4 separate regions of the Mus musculus genome follow, and all the other regions are reported to be linked to region 1. Evidence: microRNA targets listed by miRTarBase, many of them from high-throughput screens and not tested one by one. Region 1 holds a microRNA gene; each other region holds the end of a gene's coding sequence.
Evidence for each region. The annotated mature microRNA mmu-miR-139-5p reads UCUACAGUGCACGUGUCUCCAG and lies in region 1 at 2,269-2,290, opposite strand. An mRNA with a match to its seed (bases 2 to 7 or 8) in the 3' UTR can be bound and repressed. Matches are read on the target gene's strand: a 7mer-m8 pairs with bases 2 to 8, a 7mer-A1 pairs with bases 2 to 7 and ends in A, and an 8mer does both.

Region 2: the mRNA of 6030458C11Rik is a reported target of mmu-miR-139-5p. Seed matches in the 3' UTR shown: 7mer-A1 at 2,490-2,496.
Region 3: miRTarBase lists Slc1a7 as a target of mmu-miR-139-5p. Seed matches in the 3' UTR shown: 7mer-m8 at 1,724-1,730.
Region 4: the mRNA of Smco1 is a reported target of mmu-miR-139-5p. Seed matches in the 3' UTR shown: 7mer-A1 at 6,295-6,301 and 7mer-A1 at 5,943-5,949.

The regions. Positions count from the first base shown.
Region 1 is chr7:101,470,672-101,477,671 of GRCm38, reverse strand. Mir139 (microRNA 139) reads right to left here and starts at 2,296; the gene lies at 2,229-2,296. All of the region lies in intron 1 of Pde2a (phosphodiesterase 2A, cGMP-stimulated), which reads right to left.
Region 2 is chr15:12,804,556-12,812,382 of GRCm38, reverse strand. It overlaps 6030458C11Rik (RIKEN cDNA 6030458C11 gene), which reads left to right. Exons shown (of 9, transcript NM_029998.3): 8 at 311-450; 9 at 1,539-4,206. The coding sequence ends at 1,671. Among named protein-coding and RNA genes, the nearest start is that of Gm41274, 9.9 kb to the right of the region's middle.
Region 3 is chr4:108,011,307-108,019,133 of GRCm38, forward strand. It overlaps Slc1a7 (solute carrier family 1 (glutamate transporter), member 7), which reads left to right. Exons shown (of 11, transcript NM_146255.3): 11 at 925-2,223. The coding sequence ends at 1,143. Podn (podocan) reads right to left here. Exons shown (of 13, transcript NM_172874.4): 11 at 7,488-7,636; 12 at 6,401-6,598; 13 at 3,487-4,389. The coding sequence ends at 6,427. Among named protein-coding and RNA genes, the nearest start is that of Podn, 17 kb to the right of the region's middle.
Region 4 is chr16:32,272,733-32,280,559 of GRCm38, reverse strand. It overlaps Smco1 (single-pass membrane protein with coiled-coil domains 1), which reads right to left. Exons shown (of 3, transcript NM_183283.3): 2 at 7,255-7,404; 3 at 5,779-6,847. The coding sequence ends at 6,403. It overlaps Rnf168 (ring finger protein 168), which reads right to left and starts at 3,099. Exons shown (of 6, transcript NM_027355.2): 1 at 2,145-3,099. The coding sequence starts at 2,451.

The DNA of each region.
Region 1 (7,000 bases):
AAAGGGAAATGGGTGGGTGGGTGGACAAATGGGTAAAGAGATAGGAAATGGAGGGGAGGCAGGTGGGTAGGTGGGTGGGTGGGTGGGTAGGAAAATAGGTGGAGGGTCAGTGGTAGTCTGTGGACAGTAGGTGGAAGAATGGACAGAGTTCTTTTGCTCTCTGCAGCTCCCTTACCTGCGGCTCTCTACCTGCTGCTGTGGGCTGAGACTGCCATCAGCACCGCAGACAGCGCCATTCCTGTGTGCTGGTCTTTCTCCCTAGATACCATGAAAGGGGACAATGCTGTTGGAACCAGGGTTTCTCTGAAACCTGGGCGGTTGCCAGTTTTCTGAAACCTGGGCCTGAATCAGCATTTGTGTGTTCGACTGGGGAGAGCAGAGGGCCCAGATTGAATTGCTTCTAACTCCTTCCTAAGATCATATGAAACCAGAAATTTTGGTCTTCTCTCCTTTGGGGCCATCCTTAGGGACAGATGGCCTTGAGTAAGGGGTCACTGACAGAAGATGCTGTCTTATTCTGCATCTATAACCCTCCATGACTTTCCTAACTCACAAACCTGCCATCTGCTCGCCCTGCTGCTGGCACCTGGACTCCCTACAAGAAAGTAATAACATGGGACTCCAGAGTAAGAACCAAACTGTACCCTGGAACCATTTCTGCCGATCCATCTTGCTCTGTGTCTCCTCCTGGCCTGAGGTTAGGGGCTGACCTCACAGACTGGAATCTGATATCTTCCTCCAAAGGGAGATTCCCTGGGAGCTCCTCTGCCTGTCTGCTTTTTTCCATCCCTCTGGGTCAGGCTCTTCTGGTCCCTCCGAGTGCTTCTCTGCCTCTCCCCATCATACCCTAGGCGATGTCCATCTGTCACACACTGCTCTCCTGTCTTGCCATGTCATTTCCACCTCCACATCCTGGCTCTCTCTCCGGGAAGGCTTCTCTGCCCACCCTCCTTCTCTTTCCTGCATATCCCCACCCCAATCACTCCTGTCTCTCCTGCCCACTCCTCCCCCAGATCTCCAAGAAATCATCCTGAGAACATGGGGGGAGAACATCAACAGACAGAATGCAGCCATGAATAGAGGTGCCAGAAAGTGGTCACGGTAGGGAAAACCAGGAGCCTGGAGCAGATGCCACCTGCCCCCCTCTCTGTCTCCATCCTCTTGTTCTGGAGAGCAATGCACACATTTCCTAATCTTTCCTGGAGAATGGGGAGTGCATCTATCTCCATGCCCAGGGCACACCTCCATTAGCCAGAGCTAGGTTACTTAGTATAACTATTTAAGAGGACTCCTTGAAACTCAGAATAGGAAAGTCCCTAGCCCAAGCCCAAGTCCAGAAGCCCAGTTTTCCTCTCTGGCTCTTCACAGCTGCCCAGACACAAGGCAGAAAACAGAGGAAGCAGGAGAAGGTGGCTCCTTTCCCTCCCCACCGCCCACGCCTGCCACCTGCCCAAAGAGCTGTTTCTAACAGACCTGTCACCTGAAAATATTACAAGAGCTGCTTGTGTGTGCTAACACTTGCATCCACGACTTCCCAGTAGCAAGGCTGAGCTGGGCCAGAAGCAAAAGGAAAGGAAAGAGACTAGGTGATGTTGGGCAACCCAGATGCCAAGTGAGCCACCTCATAAGCCCTGAGTGACTCTGGCTATGGGGAAGGGAAGGTACCTTTCTCAGGTACTGATTGTGGTTGCAGATGTCCCTCAGTGGTTTCCAAAGTACGGCATGGCCCAGAGTCACCTGGAGGACTGTTGAAATACACAGTGCTGTCCCCACCCCAGAATTTCTGCATCAGCTGGTCTGGGAAGAGGTTGATGAATTTGCACTACCAACTCCCCAATTTCTAGCTGCTGCTGGCCTGAGACGTGCCTTTCACTCACCCCACTTTAGAGGCACAGGGGTGTAAAGACCGGGATGTAGGGAAGGTAGATCCTTTCTCCAGTGAGGGTAGCCATGGGGACAGCTGGATGCTACCCCCACATGAAGAGACTCCACAAGAAAGATCCCCAAGGAGAGGAGGCATAAGGGTGAGAAAGGAGAAAAGGAGCTGTGGCCATCGTTGAGTTGGTGACACAGGGGCACGTGGAAGGAGCCACCTGCAGCTCAAGAGCCAAGTACTACAGGAAGGGGCCCCCTTGTCCTCCTTTTCTCTCTCCCCCACCCCCTTTCTTTTGCCCACCATGCCCTCTTCCCCCTTAGCCCACCACCCTTCGAAGACTCTGGCTTCAGTTGTTACTCCAACAGGGCCGCGTCTCCAGCCTCCGAGCCACACTGGAGACACGTGCACTGTAGAATACACCTGCGCCTGTCCTGGCGCCTCCCAGGGGAACCTCCACTCCCTGAGGGGGACCCTTGGGACAACTGTTGGCTTCTCTCATCCCTTACCATAGCTGGTCCCCCCCTGGACCTCCCACTCCTCCCCAACCAGGCTGAACTTCTACCCCAGGCACTCCCACTGTACTGACCCCTTTAAAGCCATCCAGGGCCAAGTGTGGTGATAGAGAGTGGGAAGGAGGAGAAGCAGCCAGGTGGGAAGGCAGGGGTTGTTAGTCCTCTCAGACTGACAGTCTACTCTCCAGTCTAGAAGGGAAAGATTAGGGAAATGGAAAGAGGAGGGAGACAAGAGCCCAGTATCGGGAGGAGGTGATGGCCCTGGCCTGGAAGCTTTAAGATGAGTTGAGTTGGGTCAGACTTTGACTTCTCCTCACCCTACCCATCTTCAGTTGCCTCCTCCACACAGTAGGACCACTCTGTCCCCATAGCCCTCAGGTTTCTAACCAGTAAGGCCCAGCTCCCATACATGTCACCATAGTCTCCTCACAATTCCCGTCATCTTGGTTTCCTGTGGTCTCTAACCTTCCTGCCTCTGTGACCATGAGAGTTGAATTGAATACAGTGGGACAGTCACTGGGGACTGTGGTGAGTATCTGTGACTCAGAGCTGTGTCTGGGGAGATGTTTTGGCATCAAGGAAGCTTGGGTACACTGTTCCCCAGGGTGTACAAGAAAGAAGAGACTCTGGGAATCAATACCCCGAGAAAGGGTCTCGGTGAACTGGCTGGCCTCCTGCTCCGGTTTCTATGAGCCTGAATGTCTACGACCCCACCTCTCATGTGGCCTTGGAGATAGGACCAGAGCTTGACCCAGCAAGCCTAGAAGCCTCTGCAAGTCAGACATAATGGTCCACTCAGGAGAAAGGAATGTCGAGTGACTAGCTGGACCAGTGTCAGGAAGGGAAGTATGCCAAAGGAAAAGATATGGTCAGACAAGAGTGGGTGGGTGAGAGAGCCAGTGATGGTCTGCTCACTCGGACCCTCACAACTTGATGGATGCTCCTTCCCGGTGCTGTGTGTCATCACCTTGCCACACTGCCCTCTCTGGCTCCCCCATCAGGCCAGGAGCTTTTGGGGGAAAGGACAGCATCCTGATTGTCCCATAGCTCTTCTGCTCTTAGCATCATCTAGTCTCCAATGAGAGCCCAGAAATGGTGGAGGCCAGCGACCTCCTGAGCAGAGAAGTGGAGTTCCTGGAGGTCCCAGGTGGGGAGACAATGGCGGTCTCTGTATCCCAAGTCTGGCGTGATGAGAGACGTAGACAAACAGCCCACGGAATGAGAGGATGCTTTTCCCTGAGAACTTTTGACAGCATTTTCAAGGTATCTGGCAAGCCAGGAGACCTTCTGCTCTTCAGGATCATCTCCAAGTGGGAAAAGCCTAGGGTCCCAGGAAGAGCAGGTGAGCAGCACCTCTTATTCAAGGACGTCATCTACATGGGGAACACCTGTCTCCACCCCAGTCCTCCTGGGAATTCCTATGAGACCAACGTCTTTAGACCTCAGGTGTCATGACATTGGATGCCCAGTTTGGTATGGGGTGTATGGAAGGTCAGAGGAGACAAAAAAAAAAAAAAATAGCCAGGTTCTCCCCTAAAGGCATGGGGCGAGGCCCTCTCTCCTGTGGCTTTGGACTTCTCAAGTCCTGCTTTGGCCAAGGGATAGACTTGTCATCTCTCCAATGTTGGAATGGGACTGGGTGTCTCTCTCTAGGCCTGGGTGGAGCCTCTTGTCTCCCGCTCTTCCATTGTCCCCTTCCCTCCTGTGCCCACAATAGATAATAAATGCTAAATGGCACTGACTTGACACAGGGCGATGTATGGCTTACAGAAGGGCAGGAAGGGAGGGCTGACCAGGGGTGCTGGGCAGAGAACTAAGTGTCCCATGGTACCTGCCTGGTGGTTGGTCCTGAGTGTCCCCAGCCCTCCCAGTACCTCCCCAGGGACCTCTGTGTCTGCTTGTCTTGGTGTGTCTCTTTGGTGTATGTCGATTCCACAGCCTCATGTTGCTTCCTCCTCTGACTGTATTTGGCTCCATCCTCACAACTTGGCTCGTCCCAACTGTTCCCCAAATCCCAGGAGAATGGGAGTATGAGACATACAGGGACAGAGACCAATTCAGAAACAAGGAAACACGTGAGAGTCAGAAGGGGATAGGAGACAGGACTGTCGAGGCCAGGACCAGCCGGGGAAGACCCCCAACATACAAGGAAACCCTTTAAGGAAACCTAGGGAGGAGAGATTCCTCCTCTACGCTGACTCCTGCCCTTCTTTTCACTCTCTCTGCCCCTGCTGGAATGTGTGAGCACTTTTATTGTTCCTAAAAATAGCCCTTCTTTACTGGGGGGGGGGGGGTGCCGGGGGGGCTGGTGTGAGGAATCTTCTGGAGAGGGTTCATCTCAGGCATGCTCCTGTCTTTGTGTTTCTCTCTGGGCTCCCTCACCCTGTGCAGCACTTTGCTAAAACATAAGTGTGACCCACGAGTTCCCACTCCCCTGTGGAGTGGCCCTGTTCCCTGTTCCTCTGAGGTCTGGGTTCCTAGATTGGGAGGAGCTGTTGGCAACTTTCCCATGGCAGCTCCAGAGCAGCATCCAGAGCAGAGGACACTGACGTTTTGAGTTATTTCTCTGCCCAGTCTCTTCAAACTCAGGCCTTTGCTCAATGGGTGACTTTCACCCATGACCCTCTTTATCCCTTTCAGATTGGCACTCTTGTCCCCCCATTTCCTACACCCCAGTATCCTCTCTTCTCTTGTGACCTTTCAGGCCCAGCCCTGGCCTGGTTCAGGAGCCTGTCTGGTTCCCTGGCTCTCATCTCTATCTCTTCTCTCCCTGCTCCTTACATATAGCAGGGCAGGGGCTAGGCCTCAGGGACCCAGCACATCCTCCAGGGAACCATGAAGTTGCTGGGGAAACCTTGTAGGCTCCGGGGGCCCCATGTATTGCATCTGTACTCTTATTATCCCCTCCAGGTCTCCACACCCCCATCCTATTTTCATTTGTTCTAGATCCCAAGTGTCATTGTCTCTCTCAATCTCCAAGGGACTCACCTCCTCCCTACCTCCATTTTTCAGCTGAGAGAACCAATCCCCAGAGAGAGGCACAGCAGAAACTGGCCAGGACCTTCGTCACTGTGCATTGATGTACAGGATCCCAGCTGGTGGGGTTCCAGGGACAAAAGCAGGCTCTTCATGCACTCATCCAGCCCCACCCAGCAGCAGGCTGGCATCCAAAGCTATTTATTTGCCTTTGGAGGGCCCAGAAGCTAGAGAACAAACATCCGGATTCTGCAGAAATTCTCCCACTCTCCCTCCTCATATCCTCAGGGCCTGGAAGCTGGGGCCAGACATACATGTACACACACACACACACACACACACACACACACACACACACACACACACACACACACATGCTTACACAGTTCCATACACACCAGAGTTGGGTGAGCCAGGGGTCTCTGAAAGACAATACCCTCCTCCCAGAGCCTCAGACCCTCTGGGTAATGCAAAACAAGTTTTATTTTGCAAAGGAGACTCTTAACAGCATTTGAGACTATTTTCTTGTTGTGAAACTCTGGGTACATTCATCAGAACTGGCTTTTTTTTTACCCCTCATTCTTTGGAGAGCTGGGAGCTCTTACTTTACTGGTGACCTAAACACATGCCATCCATAATAGTGTGTCCCTAAGGACCATCACATGACCATAGCGGAATATGTCCCTTGGGTCATGAGAGAAACATCTGTGGTGTGAAAGTATGTGGTCTATGCTTCTGTGGAAAACTGTAGAAGAGCAAAGTGCATGTATCCATGTATCCGCTGTATCCATGTGGCCCTATGTGTATCTTTAAGGTTGACTGAGTCTGCTATGTTCATGAGTGTGTGGCTGTCTGGGAGATCATGAATGCCCTGGTGTCTGGTCCTGTGTCTAAATGAGCATATAAGTCTGTCGCTGAGTGTTGGCATCTCCAGAGTCAGAGTCTCTGCCATGTGCACGGCTCCCCTCCTCCATCGCCTTCCTGAGAGCAGGACCCACCTCTCTGCTCCAGCACATGCCACACGTGCTCAACAGATCTTAAAAAGCAACAACAAAACAGCCACACAACCAACCAACCAAACATCCTCCCTGGCTTCAATGGTCTGATCAGCAAACAGTACCTTCCCCAGAGCTAGAATCTACCAAGGTTTGTCTCAGTGGACTGTAGGTGGCTGGACCACCTTTGGGCAAGTCGAGAAAGGCAAGTCTGCATGAGGAGAGAGGGCCCCAGTTCCAGTCTCAGCTCCTCTGGAGGCCAAGAGATAATATGTATGGCTAAGATGCACTGACCTTGGAGAAAACAAGCAAATTGCAGGCCCTTTTCTCCCTGTCCCACCTCCAGGACAGCCTGGGGACTAGAGGGACTCTGACTTGAATTAGAATGCTACATTTTAGATGAGGCCTGCAGGACAACCCTCCCTCCATTCCCTAACTCCTAGGACTCTCCCACCTTGACCCAACATTGAACCCTCCATCTCCATGGCCCAGGAAGAATGTCCTACAGGAGCCATGAGGGGCACGAATTGCAGCTGAGATACTGGGCCCATTTAGCCCAGCCTGGGGGCTCTGAGACAGCTCAACCCAACTCTCATGTACTAGGAAGCAGGCCCAGAGTCAGGTAGAAACTCAACTAGGGA
Region 2 (7,827 bases), not on the chromosome of region 1:
TTTTGGAGCAAGCATTTCACTGCTGAGCCATCTCACTGTCCCGTGGCCTCTATTTGAGATGTCTCTGACTGAACCTGAAGCTCATTCGCTTACCTTGGTTCACAGGTCAATGAACTTCAAGGATCTGACCGTCCCCTCACTGCCCATTGTCCCTAGAGTCGTCTGAAGTCAGTGAAGTCTTAGAATGTCCTTTAGAAGTCTTGTTTTCAGTCTGGACCATGAGCCCAGTGCAGTGCACGCTAAGCACACAGTCTACCCTTGAGCCGTCTCCCCAGCTCATTGCATCATTTTACATTTTATTTATTGTCAGGTCCACCAGGCTGGGCTAACTTGCGATTATTCAGAACTTCCTCATCATATCAGCACAGAAGAAGAAATTGAGTATCTTATTCAGTCTGTGTATTTTCTATTAAAAAGTCTACCAAAACCTACTCTTGTGACAATTGCAAGGTAAGTGTGTGGCCCATCCAAGATGTCCATACCCTGCTCTCTGGAACCTGTGGGTGCCTTGTCTCTGTGGCAGTAGGGACTTTGCAGTGCAGTGGATATAAGGATTTTGAAATGAGATGATCCTAAATTACCTGACTGGAGTCAGTATTGTCACAGGATGCCTAGAAAGAGGAGCCAGAAATAGCAGAATCAATGGAGATAAAGTTAGAAGATGGTGTCCTGCCGTCTTTGAAGGTGGGGAACAGGGCTGTCAGTGAAGAAGGCAGGTAGTATCCGGGTGCTAGGAATGCTGAAAGAACAGGACCTCTCCTAAAGCTGTGTGTTTTAAACCCCACTCACCCGTGGCCCTACCCCCACCACACACACGCGCGCGCGCGCACACACACACACACACACACAGAAAAGATGGCTGAGCAATGGAGAACATTGGCAGCTCTTGGAGAGGACCTGAGTTCTGTTCCTAGCACCCAACATTGGATAGCTCACCACTCCAACTCCAATCTTAGGGTATCCAGTGTTCTGTCCTAGACTCTGTGGACACCGGCACACATGGCTGCACATTCACACATACAATACAAACACATAAAAATAAAGCTTTAAGAAAAAAAAAATGGCCTTACCCTGAAATACAGCCCTTTCTCACCTATGTGGAGATGGTGAGCTTGCTGAAGGTGATCTGGGGAGGTGGCTGAGGGTAAAGTGCTTGCCACCCAACAATACAGGCCTGAGTTCAGCTGTGGTAGCCATGCTTAAGATAGGCACTTAGAGGCAAAGGCAGGAAGGTCACAGGAACTGTGGGACCTTCCTGGTCTACACAACCAGTCTGAGGCCTTGGGGTCTGCTTAGCAATGTCCCATCTCGATATCAAATACCAATCCTTAGTATTATACCTGTCCTATAGAATATCATTTTAGAAAACAATAAAGGACAATTCCTGTAAAGCACCAAAAGTGGGGTAAGCATCTCCCTGCTCTCAGCCGTGACTCCACAGTCGCCTGTGGCCCTCGCTGGCAGCAGTGCACTGGCTGTGCCTCCACACGGGCGACTTTGTTCTCACTCTGCTCTGCCCCCTTTCCGCTTGGTTCCAGGTCAAGTCTGGATGATTACTGTCCTCCGGAACAAGTTGACATGATTCAGGGAAAGGTCCTCGATGTGCTGCACTCACTCTACGGGACCCTGGACACTCACCTGGTGTACTCAGAAGAGTCCCCTCTGAGCTGAGACCGTGCTAGGCTGCTGTGCAGTTTGGCGCAGTGACAGACCCGGCTTTTGTTTCTGGGCTTCCAGAGTGCACTTTCTTGTTAACTCTCAGTTGGAATCAGAAATCTCCACGCAAGTATCAGTGACCAACCACATACAACACTTGGGGTAGACGCAGGGGTTCTTGTTTGGTTTTATTGTTTTCACATCAAATCCGTTACCCCGGTTGATGGAGACTGTCTGTTATCTTCCTTGCTTCCCATCGCTGCCTTTGATTCTGTAAGAGGGGTTTTTTTTTTTTCTCTTTCCCCAACAAGGGTTTGGATGATATGAGATTTATTTATTTATTCGCTGATGTTTACTTAGCACTTTTGAGAGCCAGACTCTGTTAAAGACAAGCTGCTCTGTCCTCGTGTGGGAGACCTGAGAAGCAAATAAGGGCCCACAGCAGTCTCAGGGAAAAGGGAGAGCCACGGCTGCGTCTGGAGAACTGTCGGCTCTCAGGGCACCCTTGACCATAAGTATAAAGTAACATTCGCAGATGGCATGTCAGAAGACCCTTGCCAGTCCATGACGGTGCTTGCAGAAAGTCTGCCGCGCTAAGCGTGTTGGAATTGTGCCCACGCGGTTGCTGGATCTTCTCCAGACTTGTTTGTATGCAAGGGGTCTGGTTGAATACACCTAAGCAAAATTTTGTTGTTGTTGTAGGTTTTGTTTGGGTTGTTTGTTTCTTTTTGGTTGGTTGGTTGGTTTGGTTTGGTTTGGGGTTTTTGTTTGTTTTTTGGTTTTTTTTTGAGACAGGGTTTCTCTGTGTAGCCCTGGCTGTCCTGGAACTCACTCTGTAGACCAGGCTGGCCTCGAACTCAGAAATCTGCCTGCCTCTGCCTCCCAAATGCTGGGATTAAAGATGTACGCCACCATGCCCGGCCGTTTGTTTTTGATGGGTTGGTTTTGATTTTCTGAGATGACGGGGTTTCTCTATGTATCCCTGATAGCCCTGGAACTCGGTCTGTAGCCCAGTCTGACCTCAAACTCAAAAGATCCGCCTGCCTCTGCCTCCCAAGTGCTGGGATTACAGGCGTGCACCACCACTGCCCAGCTGCTTACAGTGGAAACGCCTTTTGGGAGTTTTGCCTTGGTGGTCATTATAGTCCTCAGTTGGCATTAAGCATTTAAGCACTAGGTGTCATTTTCTTGGCAGTCAGTCAATCAGTCGAGTGGTTAGAAAGTTGCTAAGCAGATAAGGGCACTTGCTGCTCTTGCAGAAGGCTGGAGTTCAGTTCCTAGTACCCATATGGCAGCCCACAACCTCACAACTCCAGTGTTCTCTTGTGGCCTCCAAAACTACACACGCATGCGTGTACATACCCACATGTAAACATATAAACATAAAGTTTTTATTGGAAAGACCTGTCACTGCATAGAGAAGAGAATGTTTTCTGCGCCGTGCATTGAAGATGATGCTTCATATATTTAATGAGCCAAGTTTGCCCTTAGCCAGAGAGTGGCTGCAGCCACTACTATTTACCCTGAGTTCCCACCCCACCAGGCGTGAATGGGACCGTCTTTATCCTAGAAGCTAATTTCTGCTTGCCTGTTCCCTGCACTTTTGTTCAGTAATTACTTTATAACTGCTTAATTTCTTTAAAGGGTAAGATGATATGTAAAGAAAAAATAAATATCCATCACTCCTGGCGAGCACAGTAGCTTTTGTCTTCACAGCCCGTTTTCAACCCTCGCCTGCACGTGGGCCTGGAGAGGGGAGTAGCCAGGATCAGAGTGACCTACCTCGAAGCGGCCAGTTCTCCAGGATGCCTTACCCTTGCCCTGCGGTGCGTACTCTTCCTACCGTGCTCATGTTTTCCTCTGGCGAATTCTCTTGGCACTGAGGAAATTGACAAAAATCCAATACTATGAAAGCTTGTTTGTATTGTGGAAATAAAACCAACTGATAGCCTTCCATCCTGATAATCAAAAGATTTGTGTTCTTCCAAACTCAGAACTGTAAAATTGTTTTTAAGCTCTGAAAATGTCTTGTTAAAGAGTTCTATAACTAGACATTTCTAGGAATAAATTAGTCTATGTGCAAAATGAAATTAAATCCTGTATTTGGAAGCTTTAAGGGTTTCAGGTCAAACTATAGAACTAATTCTTCTTCGTGTCAGTGCATGGACTTAATTGAGTTTTAGCTGTTTTGGTTTTGGTTTTTTATTGTTGATGGGTTACTGTAACTGCAGTGGACTCTGATGTGAGTCATCATTTTTTAAACCTGGGTTGGATAAAACTTTTTAAATTACTAAATAAAATAAGCATCTACTAACATTTTTAATTTTTTATTATTTTAGTGTGTTGCATGTATATGTGTGTACCACATGGCTTTAGTGTCCATGGAAGCCAGAGAAGGTGTCCAATCCCCTGGACTTGGAGCCAGTACTCTTAACTGCTCTGCCATCTTTTCAACTCCCTAAGATTTAACTTTTATTTAAAAATTTTTACATACAATGTATTTTGTATAATTCCTCCCAGATCCCCCCTTCCTACTCCATGGTCTATCTCTCAAAAACAAAAAAGGAAAGAGGAAAAAAAAAGGTCAAAAAAGGTACCAAAAGTCACACACAAAAAACACAAGAGTATTTTGTGTAGGCCAACTGCCCCTTTCATGGTACTTGCCACTAGAATTGTCGACATGCCCAGTAGCGCTCCTCTGGAGAAAACTCATTAAACTCATTGCCCCTTTCCCAGAAAATACCAATTATAGATAGCTTTTTAGTAGCAGGTAGGGCTTTCTTCCTACTTTCTCTTCTCAGTGCTGGGATTTTGTCTGCTTTTAACCTTTGCGGGTCTTGTGCGTGCTGCCACAGTCTCTGTAGTTCGCATGCCCGTCGGTCTTCTCTCTTTGGTGTCATCCACCACTCTCACCATCTTCCCACCTCCTCTTCCACGTAGATCCGTAAGTCTTGAGGGCAGGGGGTAATGGAGACGTTCCACTGAGGGCTGTGCGCCGAGGTCTCCAGCTCTGCCCATTGCTCAGTTATGGGTTTCTGAATTAATTACGACAAAGCAGCATCTCTGATGAGGGGTGGACAATACTCTGATCTATGCGTATAGCAGTGTGTCGTTAGGAGTCATTTCATTGCTCTGTACCATTGGCAAGATTCTAGTAGGTTTTCCCCTTAGCCCTATGACCAATTTAGTCCCAGGTATCTTGCCACTTGAGCAGTGCCAAGCATATCTTCCATCTTAACAAAGTCTTCAATCCAATCGTAACGCTTGCACCACTGTTGAAACCGTGTTTGTAAGTTGTAGGGTTTGTAGCCAGGTGATGCCAGTGACCACTTTACTCCTCCAACATGCAAAGTACCTTCCAGCACTGTGGACAGTAGTCAGCAGGGATGAGACTTCTGGCTGGGCACCAGCGCAGGCCAGTTCTGCTTCTGCCTTCCGTGTGTTCAGGCACTGTAGCTCAGCTGCCTGGCATGAAAGCATAAGCAGGTTTGTCCAGGCTTATCCAGGCCGGGTGGGTTTGCAGGAACACGCTTGTCTTGAATGCCGGGGGTGGGGGGGGCGATGGTGGGGGGGTTGTTTTTGTGGAGGAAGAAGCCTTCTCTGAGAGTTTTCAGTGTTACCGCTTCTTTATTAGGGGGTTAATAAGGGCTATATAAACCTTGGGGAGTGGGTAGCAGGTTGGGATGTAAATTATTAACTGGTGCTGCGGTGCTGGGAACGCTTCATTTGCATGAAGAGGAATTCCAGGTGCTTGATGAACATGTCCTTGTAGGCAGAGAGCACATTACTCCTGTAATTCGGCTATCAGGCTGCATGGCTACCTCGGTGGTGGACGAGGGAGTTGCAGGCCCCGAAGAGGAAAGAAGCAATCCTTACTCCTGCCAGTCTCAAGATGAGTTTTGGGAGTTTGGACATGTCTCAACCTCACCGTTGTCCCAGGCCTGTTCCCCAAGTCACACCTCTCACTTGCCCCACACACCAGCTTTCTTTCTCTGTTTGATGACATAAGAAAGGTCACTTCAGCGACTGGGCCTTACCTTTCAGTTCTGATCAATAGCCAATAGCCTTGACAATAGCCTGTGATGTTTAGGGGACTGTCTATGGAACCCCTTTGCCAACCCAGTAACATTTTTAATCTTGTACGTACATGGTCAAGGATGGTTGGATCTTTTGTGATCTGACATGAATAAGACCTGAAGAGAATCATGTTCCAAAGAGGAAAGCATAACCTTTGACATCATTTTCCAAGAACTGTGTCTATGAAGTTTAGATCCCTAAAGTTACCCTGCGTTGGGTGAGCATTGCTGACCACTGAAGCAGCGACGTTTCTTCCCCACCTCTGGTTCTTTCCATCCACTTAGAAGCACAGCTATAGCCCTGCGCTGCCTCTCTATTCCTTCCTGGGTCAAAGAGTAAATGAAGGAACATGGGATCTTTTCTTCTAGAAGGATTTGTTCTGCTGTCTTCATCCTCCGATGCAAAGTTTTGAAAGTAGGCCTATGATGGTTTGTCTATCCTTGGACCAGGGAGTGGCACCATCTGGAGGTGTGGCCTTGTTGGAATAGGTGTGACCTGGTTGGAATGGGTGTGTCACTGTGGGTGTGGGTATAAGATCCTCACCCTAGTTGCCTGGAAGTCAATCTCCCACTAGCAGCCTTTGGATGAAGATGTAGAACTCTCAGGTCTGCCTGCGCCATGACAGCCTGGATGCTGCCATGCTCCCACCTTGATGATAATGGACTGAACCTTTGAACCTGTGAACCTGTAAGCCAGCCCCAATTAAATGTTGTTTTTTATAAGACTTGACTTGGTCATGGTGTCTGTTCACATCAGTAAAACCCTAACTAAGACAAGGCCCCAAAGAGTAGCTAACAGGGGTGCCAATGGATGACCAACTCCACCTTAAGAAAGCTGTTGCTCAGAGCTGTAATCCTGTCCCTTATCAACAGCTGTAATGGTGATACAGTTATTTAGAAAATTAAGAGAGAAAGGTGATGTCATTTGGGCCTCAAATTGCAATATAACACTCGCTTTGTGGGGGGAAAAATGAAATTCTGACAAAAAAGAAATTCTCTCAATATAAAAATTTTAGGTGCTACATAACAGAGCTTTTTAAACTCTTTATTTGCTTTTGAGTATTAATAGACTAGTAATTTGACTTTTATCTGGTATCATACTGAGACAGGCCACACAGTGCCTTAGAGAGATTCCCAGATAAATAGCATATAGTCATAAAATGTCAGCAAATAGGATGTTATAATTCAAAGCGAGATACCCACAAATTAGACTTTAGTGTAACTTGCACAAATAGAACTTCATATTAAATAACACAAATGAGGATATGACTATAGAAAGATATGATATACTGATATAAACAGTATTCAATATTCAGGCACCCACACATTAGCATGTGGCTGTTATAAAATCAAGCAAAAGCACCATGTGTTTGACGTTGATACGTCTGTCAAGCTGTGGAGGCCACCAGAACTGCACAGCAAGGCTCTGCATCAAAAACCAACAAGGCAGCTGATACTGAGGGCCAAAGACAAAAAGTGCAGATCACTGGGGCTTTGCTCATCGCTCCAGTTCTGCTCTGCTCTTCCAGGGATCTCAGGTAGGTGTCTGCTTCCCTCCTGAGAAAGTCAGAGGCCTCTTCTAAGCAGCCACAACAGTTCCCCTCTAAAAGTGGCCAAAAGGCATCCCAGACCAGTGTTGCCTCCCAGACATTTACAGCAGCCAGGTTGGTTGGTGTGACTAGATCAGAGACAAACAGTCGGGAATGATCTTTGGCCCTTGGTCAGTGGCTTCCAGGAAGCCTTTTCTCAAGTAGCAGTTCTTCTCCTGTGCCATTCTAAGCTTTGCACTATCCAAGGCCATCAGCTTGTGTTTAATGGTTGCCTCCATCATCTTCGTTTGCATCCTCTGCCATTCGAGGCCCCACAAAGCTCTTGCTGCCTCCCTCCTTCCCTTTCTAGGCCTTATCTTCATTGCCCAGGTGTTGGGATTACAGGTGTGAGTAACCACATACACCCTAGGACACTTTCACTTTAACTCATGAAACTGATTTTACACTTCAGATGTATAAGTGAACAAAGATACCAGGAAAATATTGAAAAATAAACATAACAGATTATATACTGAATGTGTAATTATGTTAGTTAAAATAAGGCA
Region 3 (7,827 bases), not on the chromosome of region 1:
ACCAGAAAGCCTTCAGTCGGTCGCATCCTCCACAGCTCTGGGCTCTTTGCCTCAGCAGGTGACTGGCTTCTTTAACACCTATTCGTGGAGGACCCCCCTGCAGGGCACCCCAATCTAGCCAGTGAAATAGTGAGAAAACATCTTCCCTCTAAGAAACCTAGTCCCTAGGGTAAGCTGTTTGTGGTGCAGCAGGGTGCTGTGTGGTAATTAGGATTGCTTGTATATATAGGAGTCTGTACCCTCTTCACAGCAAGGAAGCTGGGGTTCAGGTAGGGAAGCTACTGTTTTCCACACTGGACTCTGTAAGACAAGGCCTTCATCTACCAAAATAGGCAGCAGGAGACAAGGCAGCCTGCAAACTGGCGCCTAGAGAGCCCTGTAACCTGCCAAGGCTACCCAGCTGTGTTTATAGGAACATCTCTTTCTGCAGCTCCCAGCACCATTACCTACCTCAAGAAATCTCAATGGAAGGAAACTGCCCTTGGTTAACGGTTTGCCTTGGAGAAGGGCCTGGCTTAAAAAGCCTAAGGGAGGGCTGGTGAGATGGCTCAGTGGGTAAGAGCACCCGACTGCTCTTCCGAAGGTCTAGAGTTCAAATCCCAGCAACCACATGGTGGCTCACAACCATCTGTAACAAGATCTGACTCCCTCTTCTGGTGTGTCTGAAGACAGCTACAGTGTACTTACATATAATAATAAATAAATCTAAAAAAAAAAAAAAAGCCTAAGGGACAGAGATCATATAATCTGTTCTAGGTGGGGTTGGAGGTGGGGGTGGGGGTAGGGTAGGGGGTATAACTCTGTGGTCTGGAGGGGTTGTATACCAGGCCCATGAGCATGTGAGATCCAGGGAAGAGACATGCTTCCCCCAAGAGCTCACACCCTCACTTTTAAATGTTTAATGAGGCCTTGTTTCCTCTCCAGAAATTGCTACCCTGTGAGACCAAGCCAGTGACACTGCAGGAGATCGTGGCTGCCCAGCAGAATGGCTGTGTGAAGAGTGTGGCTGAGGCCTCAGAGCTAACCCTGGGCCCCACGTGCCCCCACCACATCCCAGTCCAGGTAGAGCAGGATGAGGATCCAGCCGCTGCCAGCCTAGACCACTGTACTATTGAGATCAGTGAGCTAGAGACCAACGTGTGAACCTGCAGGGCCGCAGCAGAGCCAAGCCAGACCCTGGGGTTTGGGCTAAGGGGTAGGAGCTAAACTCAAAACACACCTGGCGCAGGCTGGCACATTCCACCCTGACAGGCTAGTCAGTCACTGATGAGAAAGAGTGTCAAAAAAGAGACAACTATGTGCAGAGACCCATCAGCAACTATGGCTCTTGTGGCCCAGAACCTAGCTGTGACAGTTTCTACTACATGAGCACACAAAGGTACCTGGTAGGGGTCTTTGTCTATACTTTGTGGAAAAATAGTTTGGGAGCCCGAGAGCTAAAACCACTCCCTGAAAGAACAGTCATAGCCAGGATGCTAATTCAAGTCTTTGGAGTCTCCGCCACTCTGTTCTAATAAACAAGGCAGCCTGCAGGGAACAGTGAAAGAGGCTCTGCCTTCTCCAGGTCCCCACGGCCACAACAGCTTCCAACTCATGAAGATAGAACAACAGTGTCCCTGTTGCTGCCCCAGCTGTGTCCAGGCCAGGTCAACCCTGCCCCACCCCACAGCATGTGTGTTGGTTTTTTTAAAGATTTATTTATTTATTTTATGTATGTGAGTACACTGTAGCTATCTTCAGACACACCAGAAGAGGGGGGTCAGATTCCATTACAGATGGTTTGTGAGTCACCATGTGGTTGCTGGGATTTGAACACAGGACCTCTGGAAGAGCAGTCAGTGCTCTTAACCACTGAGCCATCTCTCCAGCCCACAGCATGTGGTTTTAACTCAGTAAAGTCTGGTCCATCCCAGGTCTGAGACCTTCTGCCTTCACACGTTACAAGCCTGTCCGTTTCTGTCCACCAGACCTCTCATCTAATATGGAGACTGATGTCCACTAGGGCTGGGAAGCCGAGCAGGTACAGCCCAGTCAGCCTTCCATGAGATGGGTGGGCAAGGTCGGCCATAAAGAGAAAGACCCAGCTTGGGATGCTCCGGCCAAGGGACTAGCAGTACCTTGGGGTCAGAACTCTTTGTGTGGCAAAATGGAACAAGAGTCCCTAGTCCCTTCCATGTTTGCGATAATGTGATAAATAAAAGTCTGTTTTTTTTTCAAGACTTATGGATGTGACAGACTATGTGTTTTGCTTTGTGCTTTGAGACAGGGTAAGGTAAGGCAGGGCTTGCCTTGCTTAAAAATCAGCTTGGTCTGGGCCCTGGCCCTGAAATCAAACCTCAGAAAAGGAAGAAATCTCAATGGAAGGAAGCTGCCCTTGATTAACGGTTTGCCTTGGAGAAGGGCCTGGCCCAAAAAGCCTAAGGGAAAGAGATTGTACAATCTGTTCTAGGTGGGGTTGGAGGTGGGGGTGGGGGTAGGGTAAGGGGTATAACTCTGTGGTCTGGAGAGGTTGTATACCAGGCCCATGAGCACATGAGACCCAGGAAAGAGACAGGCTTCCCCAAGAGCTCACACCCTCACTTTTAAACCATATCTACCTTCCTCCCTCGAGTGTAAAGACTCCAGGAAGGGCCTCAGATCTAGGACACCCCCACCCCCACCCCCCTCCATGCTACCACTCTCTATGGTTCTATTATGGGTCCACATGGCTATCCTTCGTCAGTTGATTGCTGACCATCTGGGAAAGCTCAAACGTCCCACCAGTTACTTTCTCCTTCATGTGAATGGACTTTATTTGACCTTCCCTGAGACCCCTAAGGAATCGAGTTGTTTGCCCCTGCTAGCCACAGGCAGGATTCTATAGTTTGGTGAACTTGACAGATGCCCACACATCTCTGGGGCAGAGAGATCCCTCGGCCATTTAGATCCACATCACTGCTAGGTTCAACTTCCCTACAGCTTTCAGTCCAACCCCAGCTCTCTCTCACTGGGGTGGCATAGTGGCTGTGCCCCTCACCTTGTCCCTGGGAATACCTAAAAAGACCTTGTCCCCAAATCAGCTCTGAAGGAGCCCTCAGACCCACCTTCTGCCACCTCTCTGTTTGGACAGCACAAACCACCCGGTAACATTAGTAACAGTACCTCCATGCAAAGGTGACTTTCCAGGTGGGTTCTAAATAGCCCAGGGCCCATGGGTCATCTGTTTGGAGGTTCAGCTTGGGGGAGGGGTCACAGGGGGAATGTGCAGGCCTGCATAGCAGTCCAACATTAAAGGCAGATGTCCACCCAGAAGTATATTACGCACCAGGCCTTCCTGCCTTGCTACTATGCCCCACCCCTCCTCTGTCTGTGCCACTCCCGTGGAGCCCCTCAGTCCTGGTGCTGGCCCTCCTTCCTCTGGTCAGGGGTGCTGCTTGCTGGATCTTGCCCACCCTGAGCAGATGCCAGCCCATTGCCTGGAGGGAAGCACACACAGACACAGCATGGTTGCAAGGGCAGGGATAATACTTTATATTAGTTTTTCTGTAACAGGAAAAAAATCAGCTTTGAGATTTTTATCTTCATATATATTTTTTTTTCTCCTTAAACAAAACCAAAGGTACCCAGAACTTCCCTGCAGAACTGAAGACCAACGCAGCTGCCACCACCCCACCCCACCCCCACCACGCACTGCTGCCTCTTTCTCTTCCAAGCCTTCTTGAGGCTGTTCTCTGAAAGTGCCTGTGACCTGCCAGGGCACAACAAAAAGGGACTCCCAGCAGTAGGAGTGCCCAGCACCTGGGGGGAGGAGGTGAGGCTGTGGTCGAAGGCAGAAGGTTCAAGTCCCCATAGGGAAGGCACAAAACAAAAGCCAGCTTTTGCGTCTCAAAGAGTGAAAAGCACCCGGCCACAGAGCAAGGAGACAACCCTGCGTCTCCAAGGGAGGGACCAGAGGACAAGGCACATGGCCAACTGTTTCCAACCAGAGCTGTCTGGAAGCAAGAGCTTTTGGTAGCATAGGTCACTCTGTGTAAGTGAATAGGGGAGAGGGTAGCTGCCTGAGTCTACCAGGCCAGTGTGGACTCAGAGGTGAGGGTGTGTGTGTGTGTGTGTGTGTGTGTGTGTGTGTGTGTGTGTGTGTGTGTGTGTCAGTGTGAGATTGTGCAGAGAGCCAGTTTGGAAGGTCATATGCAGCTGGCTATCTACGTGGCCAAACTGGGGGCGTGGTGGTGAAGTGGTATCTGCACGTGTCTGACTGTGTGACACATTGCTGGAAGGGGTGGGACACGAGACTGTGTTCAGCCCGTGTGACTTTCGGGTGCCTCTTGGGCTCAGCGTTGGGTGTGTCAGAAGGGGGCGCTCATGGGGCACAGGCCTGGGCTGCAGAAAGGAGTCCGGTAGTCCATCGTCCTGTGGAACATGTTGGAGAGTCAGGACTAGCTACAACCAGCCATTGGTGAAGTGGATCAAAGTAAGGGGGTGTCAGAAGCCAGGCTGCTGTGAGTGGGAAGAAGGAGGAGCCCCTGGGAGTGTAGAACCAGGAGGTTCCCAGCTCTGAATCCAGAGCTCCCTGGGGCTTCTTCCAGCAGTCCATTCAGTTGACTTAACCATGGCCAACATTCCACAAAGCGGGAAGCTTCTCCCTCACCCCAGAACTCCACAGTCCTTTTCATGAGAACCAGCAGTCCTCATGCGATAGCAATCACCCTTTCCTGCCGACCCCTGGCTTTTAAGGACTGTGCCTCAGGACAGAGACTCTACCTCGACGGCTGGCCTTGGAGTCAGGTTTGCCCCTCCAGGCTCACAGCCCTGTCACAAATCCTGCTCTCATGAGTGGACACCCTGTCTCCATCATCCGTCCACATAGCTGTCACTATATATCAACAACCCCCCTCCCCCCACTACCAGCTCCCCTCTGTTCCATGTTCTACTTCAAGTCAATATCCTCACTGTGGCCATGGCCACACCCTGGCCTCATAGTTCCCAGCACATTCCCTGAAGTCCTACCTAACCTTAGCCCTTCCGATCACTGCTCTCTGCCTGGACACTTGCTATCACCTCCCAGGTTTCAGCTTCCTCCCCATGCCTCTGCTACCAATATGTCCATCTGCCCCTCCTTCTTACCAAGCCTAGTGCCACAACCTGAACAAAAAGCCAGCCATAAGGAATCCAATTCTGTGCCATGGATAGAAAGCCAAGGTCCTCGGGCTGATGGGATTTGGGACCCAACCATCAAGCCTGACTGTGACGGCAGCCACTCAGTTCCCTGGCCCTCCTTCCACACTGGGACAGTTACCAACCTCCTGCAATCCTTCCAGCAGCCCTCATACCCATGCTGCTCAATGCACTACCCTCCCTCCACAGCATATCCCATGAGCATCCTTGCCACCAGTGCCAAAAGGAGTGCCAAACAGTTTTACCTGAGTTTTACGTGGCCTCCCCTTGGCTACTGCACTCCCTGCCTTCCCAGTCATCCTCTCCACCCCCACCTCTCCCTCAGTTGCTCCCTATGACGTCACAAGCATTCCATGTAGACACATTCAGTTATGGACAGCAGTACCCACCTCCAGACTCTGAGTACTGAAGCAGTTTTAGTCCCCTACCCCCTACATCTAGAGAAGTCCATGAATGTATTAAGTGTGTGTGTGAGTGTGGTCATATGTAAGCCTGTGTGAATAGGTACCCAGACACACCTCCATGCATATATCCATAGGCACATGTGTGCACACAGATATGGGCCTATGATTGTGTCTTGGACTAAAGTATGTATATATGTACACATGTGTAGATGCTTGTGTTACATGTATGTGTATGTATTAACTACCTATGGCTGTCCCCTCCCTCCCTGCCCTAGACAAGCTCTTCTAGCCCCTCAGTATCTAGCCCTATCTCAAGGCCTACAGTGATGAGATTCCCATCTCCAGCCCAGGCCTTTCCTCTGAGCCCCAGACTTAGGAGTCTCTGTACCCCAGAGTATCTCCCAGCACAGTACTCATCTCCCTGAGCTAGAGTAAATGCCTTAGCACAAACTGGCTTCTGTGGGCAAGCAGACACACACACATACACACACACACACACACACACACACACACACATACACACACATACACACACACATACACGCATACACACATACATGTACACATAGATACATACACCTACGCATACATACACACATATACACACATACACACACATACAAACACACATACACATATACACACATACATACACATACAAACACACACACACACACACACACACCTCACATGGTGCAATCCTGCATGCAAACGAAATGACAGGTTTTCAAAATGAAGGGATAGAACAGAGACAGGGTGAAGTTGACACACAGAAAGCCAAGGCAGGTCAGGGACAGCAGGGAGTGGTGAGAGGTGCCTTCACACCCGCACAGACCACCCACCTGGGTTTCATCCATGTCACTTTGTCCTATCTAGTTTCCTCTTCCTCATCTTCCTCTTCCTCCTCTTCTTCCTCTTCCTCATCTTTGTCCTTGGAACCATTACCAAACTCAAAGTTGCCTTCAATGTCCAAGACCTGCAGGTGTTTCAGCCTCCGGAAGGCGCTTTCCACCACGGAGCCCACAGCCAGCTTGTTGAACCTGAGTGGTGGTCCATGGGTCAGCGGCAGGAGGCCTGGCTGATGCCCTCACACCTACCCAGCTCAGAGGGGAAAGGGGGGAGGGGTGGTATTTGGGAGTGCTACAGCAAGTTTTGAAGGGGGTGCGTGAAGAAGCACAGTACACCCCTGACAAAGAGATCTGTCAGGACACCGTTAGCTTGGAGGAAGGGGGTGGCAAAGGCAAGGAATGTCTCCTTCTATGCATAGTCACTTCATGTGCAGAGAGATGCCTCTGCTGCCCTTCCCCACTAACCTCAAGATCTGACTGGCACACAGGCAAGGCCTGGCTGAGCTGTAAGGAACGTACTCAGCCCAACACTGAAGGCCGGGTCATACCACCCAGTGTCACCACCCTGGGCCTGTCTTCTATTCTGTCTTCTCTCTGATTTGAGTGGGTCGAGTTGGAATGGGGGGTGGGGGAGCATCTGAGAAGAAGCCAGAGTCTGTGAGGTCTGAGTTCTCTGAAGTCCTAACCCCGGAGCCCAGTGGGGCCCCAGGCGTCTGTGTTCTTGGTCTGACACCTGAGCCCCACCTGGCTGACTGAACACAGCTGTCACCCATGTCTTCACAGCTGGGGGTTACTCGTGAGATGTTCTCTGGGCTTCCTCCTGTACCACATTAGCATCAACAGCACCCTGTACTTGTTTTGAATGTTTCTGATGCCACTAGCAGACCTGTGAGCCATTGCAGCCTGGCAGGGTATGCTCACTCTCGGGGGCTGAGGTGGCACGGGCTTGTGGGGGTCCTGCAGTGTACTCAGCCAGGCTCCACACCCACACTCTAGCTGCCAGCTGTTCCCCCAGCTCTCAGCTGTCCCTCTACTGTTATAGTGCTGTCTGGATGAGAGCAGGGCGGCAGGGACTTCCTACCTGAGAAAGATCCCCTTAAGGTTGGGAGTGGAGTCAAAGGCGTTGGCAGGAACGGCACTAATCTTGTTATTCTGCAGGTACAGATACTCCAGAGATGGGGGGAGCCCCTCAGGGACCTCTGTGAGCTGATTCCCAGCGATGTCCAGCAGCTGCAGGGGGGGGGGGGGGGATGTGCGTGTCAAGGACTTACCAGCTCACAGACTCCTACCAAGCCACAATCGATCTCTAGTGAGGGGAGGGGTCTGACAACCACGGTTTCCAGGTGGAGAAACAGCTCAGCGAGGTTAATCCCTTTGTAAGAGGCTGGAATGTGCTGAGCCAGACTCCACACACTTGTTCT
Region 4 (7,827 bases), not on the chromosome of region 1:
GGACACCTGGCAGAGAAGAACTCTCCTCCCAATTCCTCAGCTAGCTGTTAAAAGCCCCCTACTGTTACCGCTCAGGGTTGAACTCCCCTGCCTTGCTCAGCGTGTGGAGTTCGTCCTCAGCTAGCTGAAAATAAAACCTCTTGCAGTTTGCATCAGGTGTGATTTTCTCTCGAGTCTTTGGGGTGCCGGCCAGCTCATCCGGGGACTTGAGCAGAGGCCCAGCTTGGGGGGGGGTCTTATATGCGGGGGCTCGTCTGGGATTTGTGGCCTACCCCAGGTCTTACAGTAACACAGGCCTCTTGTCCTAGCTTGAAGGAAGAAACAGGTAGACTGTTATGATTTCAGGCTAGGCTGGTCTGCACCTCTTTATTTCCATGATCTGGAACCTGTCAATTGTGTTCCTGTGTTTTGCTATGGCAAAATGCATCACATAAATAACTTGAGAGAGAAAAGATTTAGTTTGGCTCGTTCAGAGGTTTGCATTTATGGTTTTATGCCTGTGCAAGGCAGAAACATGATTGTGAAAAAGCTTGGTAGAGGAGAGGTGCCCACTTCAACTGCAGTCAAAAAGCAAACCTGTCACAGGCATTTCCAGTATACTTCCTCCAGACAGGCCTCACCTAACAGCCCAGCTGGGATAAACTTATCAGTGGACTGATCCAATGATGTCGTTAATGCTCTCCATATGGAATCACCTGAGTAATGACAGCTAGAACAAAGCCTTCATCCCACATTACAACTTTAACAATTCCATTTAATGAAAGAGCAATATATTCTGTTGCAGATATGTACATTTAGTTTATCCATCCATTGATGTCACTTGGACACTTCTACCTTTTTGTCCTACTATTTTTATACATTTTACAAGTTTGTACTAATATGTTCTCATATTTCAAAGGCGATTAAGAGGAAGGGCCTTCCTTTTCATATTTGAGCCACCTGAAAACAGAACTATATATTCAAAAAAAATCTTTCAATTGGGTTACAAAAAATTAAATTTTCGCCTTTAACTCAAGCACTTGGGAGGCAGAGGCAGAAGGATTTCTGAGTTCGAGGCCAGCCTGGTCTCTACAGAGTGAGCTACACAGAGAAACCCTGTCTCAAAAAAAAAAAAGAATGCTTACTGTTCTTCCAGAGTACCTGGGTTTGGTTGGTTCCAAGTACTCACATGACAACCTATAACTTTGTCACTCAGTTCTAGTTCTCCTGCCTCTTCTGCACCACATGCACATGAGGCACTTACATTCACACACTCTAAATACATATTTTAAAAAATAAGAAATCTCAAGTTTTCCCTTCCGAAGTATCTGCAATTATTTAATTCTGCTACCTCCACAGATAAAGAATTGTTCTTAAGAACAGTAATAGTGATATTCTAAGACAGGGGCTATTTAGCCATGATTCATTGACAGGACAAATCTGCCCCCCCACTTTTTGTTTTTCATAAAGTTTTATGGAAACACAGGCACTATCTTCATTTACAAAGGGTAATGTAAATTAATGTATTGACTACGGTGGCTTTTGTTCTACAGTGGCAGAGCTCACCAAGTGTCTTCAGTAGACTATATAGTCCACAAAAATACTTACCATTCTGCCCTTATAAAGGGCAACCCTCACTAATACTACTACATTATAAAGGACAGGTGTGTAATAGCACACCTGCAACTCCAGTATTTGTGAGGCTAAGGCTATCCCATGCTACACAGTAATAAAACTGTGTCTCAAAACATGTCTAAAAAAATGTTAAAAAAAAAAAAAAAACCCTAATTCACAGCAGATGAACACAACTTGACCATTACTACACGTGATGTAACTCTGTCCTTGACTTTAACTGATGTGTGGGCAGGGCTTATAAAACCACAAATCCTCACGATTCAGACTATTTAGCCTTCTTTTTCTTTTTCTTTAAATTAGAAAATGATGGTTCGAGCCCTGCGATGGTGGCTCATACCTTTAATCCCAGAACTCAGGAAGCAGAGGTAGGTGGATCTCTGGGTTCGAGGCCAGCCTGATCTACATTGTGAGTTCCAGGACAGCCAGGGCAACACAGAGGAACCCTTTCTCGAAAAGCAAAAACAAAAATGGTTCCCTTTCAAAGGGATTTTGGGCCGTTTTACCCAATAAACATGCTTAATTTTACTTACTGATTTCCTTTGATTCTTGTCCAGAGATTCTAAGCTTGCATTCCTTTGCATAGTGTTTTTGAATAATCTCCCACAGGTCTGTATTGACCAGAGAATTTCTTCGGGTATGGTACCGAGTCCACGAAGAGACCCGGCGACGACAGAAGGGACAGCATAGATTGGCCTTTTCAACAGTGGACTGGAAGCATGGGTTACAGAGCGTGTGGTTGCAAGGTAGGGTTACAGGCTCTAGGAGGATTTCCATACAGATCCCGCACTGACATTCGGCTAAGGAAGGGATGGAGGTTTTAGGTGCAGCCATCTTCATATGCTAATGAGACCTACCCAACGTTAAAATCAGAAAGGGACTAAAGTCGTCTTTCGCCTAATCACGCCCAGAACGGAGAAAAGCAGCGAGCCGTTTGGTGTTTACTCTCACACACAGCAGCGGACTGAGATCCAGAAGGCCTGAGTTCCCACGGGCCCGAGACAAGCAGGAGCTGTGATGTCAGGTCAACAGTTATGCCCTGAGTCCAGCAAGGGAATGAAAGAACGTTCCTCCGGGAGTCGGCGGCCTCGGGGCGGAGAGTGGTTCTGTCTCCCCGCGCCACACAAGCGCTCATCCAGCTCCCCTTCTTACGCGGTGAGGACCCGCCTCTACGCGCGAGGCGGCCGGGCTTGCCAGAGCCGGAAGCCCGGGCACCGCCGCTCCCAGAGCACCCGGTACCGCCCGGAATCCGGGCTCGGGCCGCCGCGGGACTTCCGTCTCGCCGTTGCGGTGGAGGCAGCCCTCCAGTGCCCACGCTCCAGCTTCTGGAACACCTCGCGGTACCCCCCGGGTCCCGAGACCCAGCCGCTCGCACCCGCTGTCCTGCCAATCGGTCTACTGGCCGCGGCCGGAGCAGGTACCCGGGCTCCACGGACGTCACAATTCCCCGCCAAAACGGCACGTCTTCCCCCAAGGAACCGCTCAGTCGGGCGGGACTTCCGGGAGCTGCGTCTGCGTTCCCGCCTAGCCTGCTAGTAGCAACTCCTCCCGCTTTTGGTCGCTCGGCTACTGTAGGCTGCAGAATCTTGCTTACTCAAGTAACTCTCTAAACCAAGATCCGAACAGGAATTTTTGTAATTATTCTTTCAGTATTCTTTAGGCTACCCTTCTCCTAACAAAGCTTTCTAAAGTTCTTAGTGCTAAAAGAAGAAATTACAACAAATTTACCTTAAAGATTTTTCTTAGCATTTATTTGCAACACTAGCATTTTATAGAATGAGCAGCAGATATTGGCCTTATAGACAAGTGACGCTCAAGGAGAGCAGCAACAAAGAGTTACACCTGTGGTTTCAAAGAATCCTTGTAAAGGTTAAATAAGGTGGGGGTGATATCCTTATGGTACTGGCTAAAACAGCAATGTAGAGATTTGGCTGTTATTGCTTTCCCTCTTGTTTTGGGGGTGCTTGGCTTGGGCCCTCTACCCCAGACTTTAGCATGAGTAAATGCCTATTGGGTTTGGTATGTGGAGTCTGAAGAACTCAACAAGAGACCCATTTCTATAATCAATCCCAGCATTTGGGAAGTAGTCACAAAAGGATTATTATAAACTAGCCTTGGCTACATAACTGGTTCCAGGTCAACCTGGGCTATATGAGACCCTTCCTCAATTGGTCAGCTGGTTCCCAAAACATTGCAGGCAGAGGCAGGAGGGTCTCTGTGAGGTAGAGATCAGCCTGGTCTATACAGTGAGTTTAGTAAGAGACTCTGTTTCAAAAAGGAAGGAAGGAAGGAAGGAAGGACCTCTGAACTAGGCATGGACACGTGTGTCTTGTAATTGAGGCATTTAGGTAGCAAAGGCAGAGGCAGAAACAGGAGGACCTGGAGTTGGAGTCTGTGATGGTTTGCATATCCTTGGCCCAGGGAATGGGACTATTAGAAGGTGTGGCCCAGTTGGAGTAGGTGAGTCACTATGGGTGTGGGCTTTAAGACCCTCATCCTAGCTGCCTGGAAGCAGTATTCTGCTAGCAGCCTTCAGATGAAAATGTAGAACTCTCAGCTCCTCCTGCACCATGCCTGCCTGGATGTTGCCATGCTCTGGCACCTTGATAATGGATTGAACCTCTCAATTTGTAAGCCAGCCCTGATTAAATATTGTCATAAGAGTTGCCTTGTGGCCAGGCGTGGTGGCACACGCCTTTAATCCCAGCACTCGGGAGGCAGAGGCAGGTGGATTTCTGAGTTCAATCCCAGCCTGGTCTACAAAGTGAGATCCAGGACAGCCAGGGCTATACAGAGAAACCCTGTCTCAGAAAAACCAAACCAAAAAAAGAGAGAGAAAAAAAAGAAAGAGTTGCCTTGGTTATGGTTTCTGTTCCTCAGATCTGTGACAACTTGGCATTTATACTTCTTTCTGTGTCACAGTCCACTGAGGTCTTCAGCTTCCTTTCTAACGACTTAAGGCCCACAAGCTTGGCAGAAAGTAGCAAGACTGTCCTGGAGCTGTGGCTGAGACACTGACATAGGTGCTGGGAGTGGAACTCTGGTCCTCTGGAAGAACTATACATGCTCTCAGCCACTGAGTCATCTCTCCACCCCTATTATTTCATGCTTTCAATTGATTAATTGCCCTTCAAAAGGCATTCAAAATTCAAAATGTTCAAATTGAGCAAGCAGTCTGACTCTTCCTAGGGAAATATAAAGAAATGTCTGTTTCGCCTAGACAGGGCAAAGACAGACCAAAGAAGAGATTCCAACCAAGTCCAGCGTGGTGAACCAATGAGTTCATTGGTCTTACAGGAGCATGGGTGTGGGTTACTTACAGAGGCATGGATGACTTGAAGGCAAACCATCTAAAATCCCCACCTCCGTGTGGGGATGACCCCCAAAGCTGCACCACTGCATTCTGAACCCCAATCAACTGCCCACCTCCTGTACAGTCTAGCGTCCCACCTCCTGTACAGTCTAGCGTCCCACCTCCTGTACAGTCTAGCGTCCCACCTCCTGTACAGTCTAGCATCCCACCTCCTGTACAGTCTAGCGTCCCACCTCCTGTACAGTCTAGCGTCCCACCTCCTGTACAGTCTAGCGTCCCACCTCCTGTATAGTCTAGCGTCCCTGAAGATTAGGTGTGGCTGGAGCAAGAGTATGTACAGCCTAGGTCTGGGGTTGGAGACTCAGGGGAAAGTAGCATTTCCCTTTTCCATCAACGAGGAAATGGCAGTAGGACTGATCTCATGACCCTGTGCTGTGGCCAATCACAGCTTCTCTGATTCGAGACAATGATGTCATGTCCTGTCTAGAGAAGTTCTACTAGCCAGTGAAAACAATTTCTTTCCCTTTGACTCTTAGATTCTTAGTCCTCTACCCCCACCCCCCCCAAAAAAACCCCACATCACTTAAGTATCACTGCAGAAGTGGATATATCTAAACTTATACACAGTATCCTTTGAAGATATTATAGGTATGCTGGGCAGCCATGGCTATCCAGCACTTGGGAAACAGAGGCAGGCAAATATCCAGGTTTAAAGCCAGCTGAGGCTACAGACACAGAGAAACTATGTCGTGAACAAAAAATTGTGTGTGTGTGTGTGTGTGTGTGTGTATAAAATTGTTTTTGCCCCTTTTTGTATATAACATTATAAATAAAACACCAAATCTGAGTAATGATTCCATATAAATTTCTTTATTATGTATTTGGTGGTATCAGGGATTGAACTCAGGGCCTCATACATACAAAAAAAAAATGTAGCTGGGTGGTGGTGGCGCACGCCTTTAATCCCAGCACTCGGGAGGCAGAGGCAGGCTGATTTCTGAGTTCGAGGCCAGCCTGGTCTACAGAGTGAGTTCCAGGACAGCCAGGACTACACAGAGAAACCCTGTCTCGAAAAACCAAAAAAAAAAAAAAAAAATGTACTCTGGGCTACACCCCAAATTCTACTTCATTATAAAATATTTGCTTCTTTTTCAAATATGGCTACACACACAATGTACATTGTATCCATTTGTCATAATTTCTTTAATGTTCCTTCCACTTTTGCTATAAAATAAGCCTATAAAAATTAAATTATGCATTTTTTTGGTTTTTAAAATACAAATGACCGCCGGGCAGTGGTGGCGCACGCCTTTAATCCCAGCACTTGGGAGGCAGAGGCAGGTGGATTTCTGAGTTCAAGGCCAGCCTGGTCTACAGAGTGAGTTCCAGGACAGCCAGGGCCGTACAGAGAAACCCTGTCTTGGGGGAAAAAAAATACAAATGACCGAGAGTGGAACTGCTGGGTCAAAGGTAACAGGTTAGTCTTTAACTGGGGGCATCAACTCTTTTAGGGGTGCCCTTGAGTTTTCAGGGTCCTGTGCTTGTTTCCCCTTCTCGATGATCTGAACAGCTCTAAGCAATCCATCCTGTAGAGCCTGGTTCTTTACCATGTTGGTGATCATGAAGGAAACATCTTTGATGTACATCCGTCTTACGTTGGCAGCATAGTGCTCTCCTTTGTTGCCATGTACAATGAAGAAGGTACAGAGTGCTGAGACATCCCTCTCCTGCAGCCCGTACTCCTGCAGGACAGACTCCCACACAAGCCTAACATGCTTGTTCTTGGCTTTTCTTCTAAGGACAGAGGCTAAGGTCGGGAGACTTCTCACCAGGTCTGGGAGTTTCTGAAGCATTCGAGTGTGCAAGCAAATAAGGACCTCGATGACATAGCTGTATACAATATTCAGTTCCATTGAGGTGAACCTATGAAAAACGGGCAAAGCTCCTTAAATGGAACATTTCATGCACAAACAAAAGCTGCATTTGATTATGTTGGTGCAATGTAAACCCTCTAGAAAAAACAGCTGCGAATTTCGGAAGTATGACCTGCACCAACTGCATAGCCAAGTTCCCAGGCCACCCATAGGGGGCGCTGTGCATGGAGCAGGAACTTCTTTACTCCCTTCCCATCAGTAAGACAGCAGGTAAGAGACCCAGAAAGTGTATGCTGCAGTGCCTGGCAGGTAAACAGGTGCTCAGACTAACGCCTTCTGTGTGGAGGAACCGAGCCCAAGCGACACCTGTGGGGATCGTGCCAAGCTCGGTTTTGGAATAGCCACTAAAAGCTCTCACAAAGCCACAAAAGCCAGGATTTCTTAACCACTGCTCACCCAAGGGCCAGAGCTGCTGTCCATATCTCATCCTGGGCTGCTTGGCTTGCCAAAGTCTTGCTATGGTGTTCAAATCGAAGCGTCAGATTATCCTTGGTGACGTCCAGTTCTTTGAACTGTGTGTCTAGAGCTCTGAGCTTGTTGTCTACTCTACAGGGTTAAAGAATCAAAGGAAGTTCAGGTCAAGAGAAACCTAGAGCTCTAACAGGTTATTTATGCCCCTACCAAGTTTACACAGGCACTGTAGTTAAATTGCTAACAGGGTTCTTTTCATTTGCTCTGTGTGTGTGTGTGTGTGTGTGTGTGTGTGTGTGTGTGTGTGTGTGTACGCGCGCACGAGGGCACGTGCAAGCGCACACACGTGTGCACGTGTGTTAATGGTGGTGCTGGAGATTGAACCTAGGGTCATTCCTTCTCTAGGCAAGAGAAGACTGTGGGAAGTCCTTGCTCTCTACAGGCCTGCCTCTACCACCCAGACCTCTTTTATTTTAGTTTGCTTTTCATAAAGCGTAAATTCTAGAGAGGAGACCAAGGGTCATTTCTGCCAATCCTAAAAAGAACTTTTAAATTTAA